Daphnia pulex: one gene and its partner. The protein of the gene in region 1 interacts with the protein of each later gene in a biochemical or structural test. Links are inferred from orthologs where the notes say so. Each region holds a gene or a part of one and is shown on either strand. Other genes may lie near its edges. The genes, in order: ubiquitin-like modifier-activating enzyme 1 and ubiquitin-conjugating enzyme E2 J1-like.

Evidence for each region.
Region 2: the proteins of ubiquitin-like modifier-activating enzyme 1 (region 1) and ubiquitin-conjugating enzyme E2 J1-like form a complex in vitro, tested with the Homo sapiens proteins (2 studies listed by BioGRID, with this or other methods). The link is inferred for Daphnia pulex from reciprocal best matches to the Homo sapiens genes UBA1 and UBE2J1.

What each region holds. Positions count from the first base shown.
Region 1 is NC_060018.1:5,973,730-5,977,594, forward strand, and holds the start of ubiquitin-like modifier-activating enzyme 1, read right to left. Parts: upstream 3,101-3,865; 5' UTR 2,953-3,100; exon of another isoform or gene 2,807-2,952; intron 2,701-2,806; 5' UTR 2,681-2,700; coding exon 1,304-2,680; intron 1,243-1,303; coding exon 1,159-1,242; intron 1,088-1,158; coding exon 668-1,087; intron 584-667; coding exon 238-583; intron 182-237; coding exon 39-181; intron 1-38. Other genes in the region: polynucleotide 5'-hydroxyl-kinase nol9-like, read left to right, coding at 3,461-3,865. UniProt on the Homo sapiens protein: Catalyzes the first step in ubiquitin conjugation to mark cellular proteins for degradation through the ubiquitin-proteasome system.
Region 2 is NC_060019.1:13,202,601-13,205,982, forward strand, and holds ubiquitin-conjugating enzyme E2 J1-like, read right to left. Parts: upstream 1,869-3,382; 5' UTR 1,706-1,868; coding exon 1,675-1,705; intron 1,594-1,674; coding exon 1,388-1,593; intron 1,315-1,387; coding exon 772-1,314; 3' UTR 556-771; downstream 1-555. Other genes in the region: alpha-(1,3)-fucosyltransferase C-like, read right to left, coding at 1-54, 138-246, 321-331; 5-methylcytosine rRNA methyltransferase NSUN4-like, read left to right, coding at 2,130-2,240, 2,315-2,488, 2,550-2,958, 3,019-3,150, 3,222-3,382. UniProt on the Homo sapiens protein: Catalyzes the covalent attachment of ubiquitin to other proteins. Functions in the selective degradation of misfolded membrane proteins from the endoplasmic reticulum (ERAD) and is essential for cells to recover from ER stress.

The DNA of each region.
Region 1 (3,865 bases):
AAATCAAATTATGTTTTAACTAAAAAAAGTGAACTCACCTGTACATCGCGCGACTGTGGGATGTTGTAAATTTTAGCTTTTAGATTAGCAGCCGCAACCACATAATCCAAATGGACGGGGTTAGTGATATCGAATTCCAATGGATGAGGACAGCGTTTAGGTCCCGACCAAAACGGTTGACCTGTCAAAACAAAAAATTATATACAAAGTAAATTACACTTTATCAATAGATTTTACCAGAAGAAGTAAGTTGCTCGGGTGGAAAATTAAACAATAATTGCTTGATCTGATTGTGATATTGTTCCTGCCAATGGAGGCGAGCCCATTGAACACACTGCTCAAAATTCTTCGGACGTTCCTCAACTAAGCTGCGGTGGACGGCCTCGACTATCTCGAGTGGTTGAGATCCTGTTAGCTTTAGTGTTCTCTCCATGAATTTAGAATCAACTAAATATTGAGCAGCGCTCTCTGCTGATTGCCGGAACAACCCTTCGAACATATCCCGAGCCCATTGCAGTGTGTGTTCAATGGCATTAGGAAAATTCTTCAGCGTACAGATAGGAATTGATTTTTCCGGAGGATCCTATAAGTTTAAGAAGAAAGTTGATTAATTACAATAAACCAGAAAACTAGCATAAAAGAAAAAATAAATAATAAGCTATATTACTTGAGACGAACTATATGACTCCGTTAGATGGGGGATAACAACTTGAACGTTTCCTTTGGTACCCAGAGTTCCAGATTCGAGCAAGGGCTTGTGGTAATAGACGCAGCGCCTATCCATGTAGATACGGGCATCCACGTTGTCGAGGGCATTAGCAACGCCATCCAATTTCGAAAAAAAATCGTCATCAAAGAACTGCTCCGTTTCGGGACCGACGCGATTCTCGAAGGCTGTAACGTTGGCCTGAGGGTTCATCACCTTCACGGCAGCGGCCGCCGAACTGGATTTGGGTTTCTGTACGTCATGCGACCGGAAAAGAAACTGCCTGTTCAGATTGGACTTTTCAATCAAGTCCATGTCTGTTACGAAGACTTGGCCCCCTTCACCAGCACCAACTCCAATCATGGCAAAATTTTTGAGAAGCTAACAAATAGAATATATTTTTTAATTAATAAAATCTACAGAAAATTTATTACAAAAACTTTGATAATTACCTCACAACCGATAGCTCCAGCTCCCACAATGAAGTAACGTAGGGATCCAAGCTTTTTCTGGAATTCATTGCCAAACACTGCCACCTGAAAATGTAAAAAAATAAAATGCATAACTGATGAAAAACAAAAATAAATATTTCAATACCTGTCCATCATATCTGGATCCAGTAAGCTTACAGTTTTCTTCGGTCAACGAATCTTGGTTATCTGGCAGACACTCGGTGGCATCGAAGTATAGCCATTGAACAATGGGAGAAAACTTTTCGCTACACGCCTTCATAACTTCTTGAGCGACAACCCCGCCGAGAGTGGCGTTTAAGGGGTTCAAATCTCCTTGACATACATGGGAGAAGGTGGCCAGTAACTTTTCGTCAACTTCTTCAACTTTAGATGAGCCACTTAGACCGCTGTTTAACTCTTTAGCTAAATCCACAAACTGTTGACTGTCTTTACGGCTCCAAGGAGTTGGCAATCGTCCCTCCTTCTTGACGTAGGCGTCCAATGTCCTGAATGCTAGATGGATTTGGGGAGGCCGATCAAATTTGCCGAAATCTGTCATCACGAATTCTGGTTCTTCGAGAGCGTCAGCCAACGGTTTGAAGTGGATTTGCTTAGGCATTTTCACTTGGGTAACCACTCCTCCACGTACATAGTCGCTGAAAGCGCTCGTGTCACCAATGCTAAAGGTGTATGGTCCAAGTACTTTGATCTTCTTGGGTTCGCAACCATTCAGCTCAACCATGCCCTGTACCTCAGAGAAGGTAACACAGTCGCCATCTTCCAATCCGTGCCGGGTCTCATCCAAGCAAGTAACAACACTTGCTTCTTCTTTAGACACTCCAGCAATCATAGCAGAAACGGGATTTTCTCCAGTAGTATCGATGATGGTGAAATCTTCCCCAAAGTCACAGAAGACTTGGGCAAACAGACCTTGTGTTTTAGAGACGATGAGAGCATTGCCGAAGCTACGAACGATCTCAGAAACCCGAAGTTGCTCTTCAAGACTTGAATTAGTTAAAACTACAACTCGGTATTTCTTCAAGAATTCTTTGTTCAACTCTCCTGTATAAGTTTCTACTGGGACATACTGGTTGAGTTCGGCCAGGCTCTTGTGAGAAACTTCAGCTCTGTTCTTTCCCAGATCTGCTTCCGATACATAAAACTGGGAAGAAAGGTCAGAGGCTTTGCAAATTGAGTTGTCATGAAGGGTGACGGACTTCACACCTCCCAAGATGATATTCTTAGCAATTTCCACTCCAAGGCCTCCAAGACCGGAAATCAGGACATCAGAAGTTGCCATCCTCTGCATAGCTTCATGGCCCAATACGTAAAGTTGTCTGGAATAAAGACCCTCATCGATGGTGTGGATGTTGCCATTTCCTGCCATTTTCGGTTGCTGCTGAACTTCTTTTAAATGGTGATTGCTACCGTTACTGCTGTTCCCGTTATTTTCTTCCAACTTCCTTTTCTTTGCAGCAGGACTGGGAGACGAGGGTGACGGATCCACCTCAGCAGTGGACATCTAAAAATTAAACTCAATACCTTGGGCAACACGAGCGTCACAATGGGTGCTAACAAACCAGTTTTCTTACTTTAATATAAAAAAAATTACGGTAAGTTTCAAACTCCGAACGATTGGAATACTCACTTAGACTATTCCAACGAAGGGAGAATTATGAACAATTACGACAAAATGCCGGCGAATTTGCACACCAGGATTGGAACGAAAGATAGCCAAACTGAAAGAATGACGAGCAAGAGAGCAACAGAAAGTCAGTCAGTAATTACCAGTACTTTCTATGAACTCGAAAGTGCTGCGTGCTGCCACCTTTCTCCCACCGATGACTCGACGTAGATATGGGGAAATGGCGGGTATCAGCTGATGCAAGTAAGTCCTTGTACCGGCAATTCCCTATTCCTACTAAAATCCAAAGTAAAAATGTCTGTAATCAACGAGTAAGGTGGCGCAATAGTCGACTTTTTTATTAGCCGATTATTAAATAGAGTGATGATGATGACAAAGAAAGTACGCGTAATAATAGTTACATTTCCCGCCGACAATTTGATCGCTGAATTAAAGAGCATCTGGCAACTTGAGCGTTATAGCTTACAGTTTTACACGTGCTTGGATTGAAAATTCGGCTGCTTAAAAATACTGTAAAATCTGCATTTTTTAAAATAAAATATAACAATAGGATCTAATCAGGTATAATTGAATATTATTAAAATAGCTTACTAAAATAAAAACTCAAACCAAAATTTTCTTGAAGATTCATTAAGCCTCCACGAAGATTTGACAAATATGAAGAAACTCTCAACCAAAAAAACGAAGACTGCTTCTTCTTCAAGAAAAAGCAACACAAACGATAGTTCTGACTCAACAAATATGGCAGAGAAAAAATTGTCATTTGTCAGTCATTTGCTTTCAGCCAAAAGTGTCTATGATTCCTTAAAAAATGGACAGACCAAACCAACTTCGAAAAGATCAAAACTTAAAAAAAAAACTTCACGAAAGAACAAAACATCATCCAAATTAAATGTAGACAACAGTTCAACCATTAATCAAAGTGTGTCGGTGACTGGCATTGGTGCCTTAAAACTTAAATTAAAGGAGAGCAACATTTCTGATGAAGATAATTCATTCCAATCCTCTCCCAATGAGGATGATTCTTTTTTAACAGCAGAAAAAGAAGGTATTGAAGAAACC
Region 2 (3,382 bases), on another chromosome or scaffold:
TGTTTTCACTCGATCCGTGGAGTTATCTGCATAATAGGGGGCAACGCAATCATCCTATATGTCGTTAGAGATTCAATTTAGGAGATATCATCTGTTTGTTTTTTTTAAAATAAAGATCTAGATGTCGAATAATGTACATTTGTGCCGAATCGAAAGCCAGGTGGAAGGTAATAACAGACCATGACGAGAGTCACAAAAATGATGCAACAAAAGAAGAGTCCCCACTGTTTCTTTTGATCTCTTTCGCTATAGTTCAGGCATTGGAAAAAAATTAAAAGTTTATTAAGAAACAGCGAAAACTTTGCAGCGAGCTTTTATACCTTTTACCCATGATGATGACATCTATACTACCGTTGCACTTTTTCTAGACTAATGGAAATGAAAACCTGTAACCTAATCTATCAAAATGAGTTATCTTTTCCCCGCGATGATGTATTATCTGTCCCGCTTATCTTCACTTCAAAATCCAACTGTATTCCTACGTTTTCCTGTACCGGACAGAAAGAAAATCAAAAAGTTACATTTGAAACATTAAAGTTTTAGAGACCAATTAAATCACCTGAAATTAATTATAATTATTTATCTGCAATAAATGAATACACAAATCATACACAATTTTCATTGCCACATTGTTACAGAATCAAGTTGAATTTAGCAGTCCCGTTATACGCATTCTCCAGGAACAAGATCCTCTCAACATTTTAACTCTACTAGTCATGAATTTTTGGAAATCAATAAAAGATTTAATATTTATAGATTGTGACTCCAGCCTCAGGCAGCACTCGTACCCGAAGCAAATCGACGGAACAAAAGGATTGCCAAAGCCACGATGATGGCCGCGATTATGTAATTATAGGTAAGATCATTATTATTATTGGTGCTAGCTGTTTGTACTTGCTGGGATGGTGGTGGGGGCGGCTGGATGACAGCAATCGGCTCTTCAGTGTTTGATGCAGGCTCTTCAGGCGGGTTTTCGTTGTTCGATTCACCCTTCATTGTAACCTGAGCTGCGATCTCTCGGGCTTCTGCTTGAACGGCTTCGTTTTCGTTTGTCGTCAGCTGACTGGGCTCTTGAAGAAGATTCAAAATTTTCCCACATTCTGGGCAAACAAATTCTAGCGATTTTTTAGCCAGCCTTTGTCTTTCTTCTTGTGTGTAGTCCAGAGATGCGATGGCTCCCATACCAGGAGATGGCATGAATCCAATAATAGCTAGCAACGCTGTCCTTATGGACCAAGAAGGAAGCCAAGATTCAGGATGGTGACCAGATATACTAAGACATATTTTGCGATTGACTTCAAATCTTCCATTAGGCTGTGGAAAAGGAGAAACAATTATTTACTAGGTCAATTCATTCAATATCAATAAATTAATGAATAATACATACTGTCAGAAGCATTATGCTTGGCGGTTTCAAAGGGTATTCAGGAGGGAGGGATATCCTTCCATGATACACTCCACCTTCAAAATCAGAGTCGGCCGGACCTCTTACTGAGAAATGCCATTCAAACAAATTGTCTTCTACAGGCTGGGCAAAATATTCAGCAGTGGGCTGTGATAGCTCTTGAGCTTCTCTCATCAGCCTTTTCACAGCTTTAAAAAACATATAGATTAGTGAAAACAGACTTGATGTAACAATTGCTATTGCACAACAAAAGTGAAAATATACATTACCAGGACTTTTCATGTTGTATTTGTTTTCCATTTTATTAAGTGCACTTCTCAAAGAATGCAAATACAGAAATGGTATCACTGAAACTGATTGTTATTACCACATACAATTGCTAACTGAATCTGACTGAGATACGTCGATTTATTTGGGATGACGTATCGTAACGAAACGCCAGTAGCAGTAAATGTTGATATTAAAGTCTCATTTATCTATCCATAGATGGCGTCCACACTTCACATTTGTCGTCTGCTCTGAATCGCCCGAATTTTGTATTTTGCAATTTGCATATTTCCACGAGACCTCGATTTTTTCTTTCTCCTCGGCCACGTGAAGTGAAGGTGCTGCAAAAAGATCACAGTCGTGTCTCGAGTGCCCAAATAATCCAAAACCAATTCCAAAGGCAAAGATACTGAAAAATTAAAAAAAATCACGAACGCATGAAAATAATTAAGCAAACATGTTCGCTCGCAAGTGGCGTTCAATCTCGAAATTGCAGCAAGCTGTCGGTAGTGGGAATTTCCCACAATTTTTTGTCAGCCAGCGGCACAAGTTTGACAAAAGAGAAGCTGTAAGAATGAACAAAATATTTCTTTTTATACCAACGAATGAATTTGTAGTATACCGAATTTGTTTTTTTATTAGAACTTGTGGTCCAAAACCAACACAGATAGAGCCCTGGATCATTTCGATGATTTTTATGGTACATTTTATGGAGACCTTTGGCCAGCAACAAGACTTGCAATGTTGTCTACACCTAAACATTGTGCTTTAGTTAATTACTACGGTGACTATAACGAAACTATTGAAAAGCTCAAGGTACAAGTACTTGGGTTCAAATGTGAATTCATTCGATTGATTTTCATTCTCTTTCATTCAGAATATGGGGTGCATGGATATTCAAGAACTTTTTGAACAAAGCCGTTCCAAAAAAACCAAAACACGTAAAACCCCAGAAAACATGCCTACTGATGTCCTCGAAAAGGAAGCTGGTGTTGAAGATGAGGAGAGTGAAAACTTTCAAGAGCTCACAGATGACAGAGTCATCTCTCCTGGTCAGACAACTTCTGCCTACTTGAATTTTGTTCCGACAACAAAATTAAAAGGGATGGAAGATTGGCTAGAGGAAGAAGATCAGTTTGAATATGTCAAGCCAACTTACGACTTTGTGGTTGAAAAGCAAAAAGACGAACGCCTGGATTTCCCTTCTCTGCTCAAAGCGTTTGTTTTTCCACGAGGGGACATCTCGCGATTTCCTTCCCCTAAAAAAAGTACTTTTGGTACTTCCAGTAAGTTCAGTATCTAGATTCACTTTATGGATTACTAATTGTCATAGATACTTTTACTAGATTATTACTTGATGGACGCTGCATCTCTACTTCCCGTATTGGCGCTGAACCTACAGCCAACTGAGTCTGTCTTGGATTTATGTGCAGCACCAGGAGGGAAATCCCTGGCTATATTACAGACGCTCTATCCAAGTAAATCAATTCATCAGTTTAACTTTAATGCTTCATTACAATTTGTCTTTTTACTTCCTGATTTGCTGTAGATAGACTTGTCTGCAATGACATTACGATTTCGCGGATTTCGCGCCTTAATAATGTGCTGAAGCAATATCTTGGGCAGACGCAAACCTGGAAGGAACATCTAGAGGTCCGAAAATCGGATGCTTTGCACTGGTCTGAATTTGATGCGTTCGATAAAGTCCTG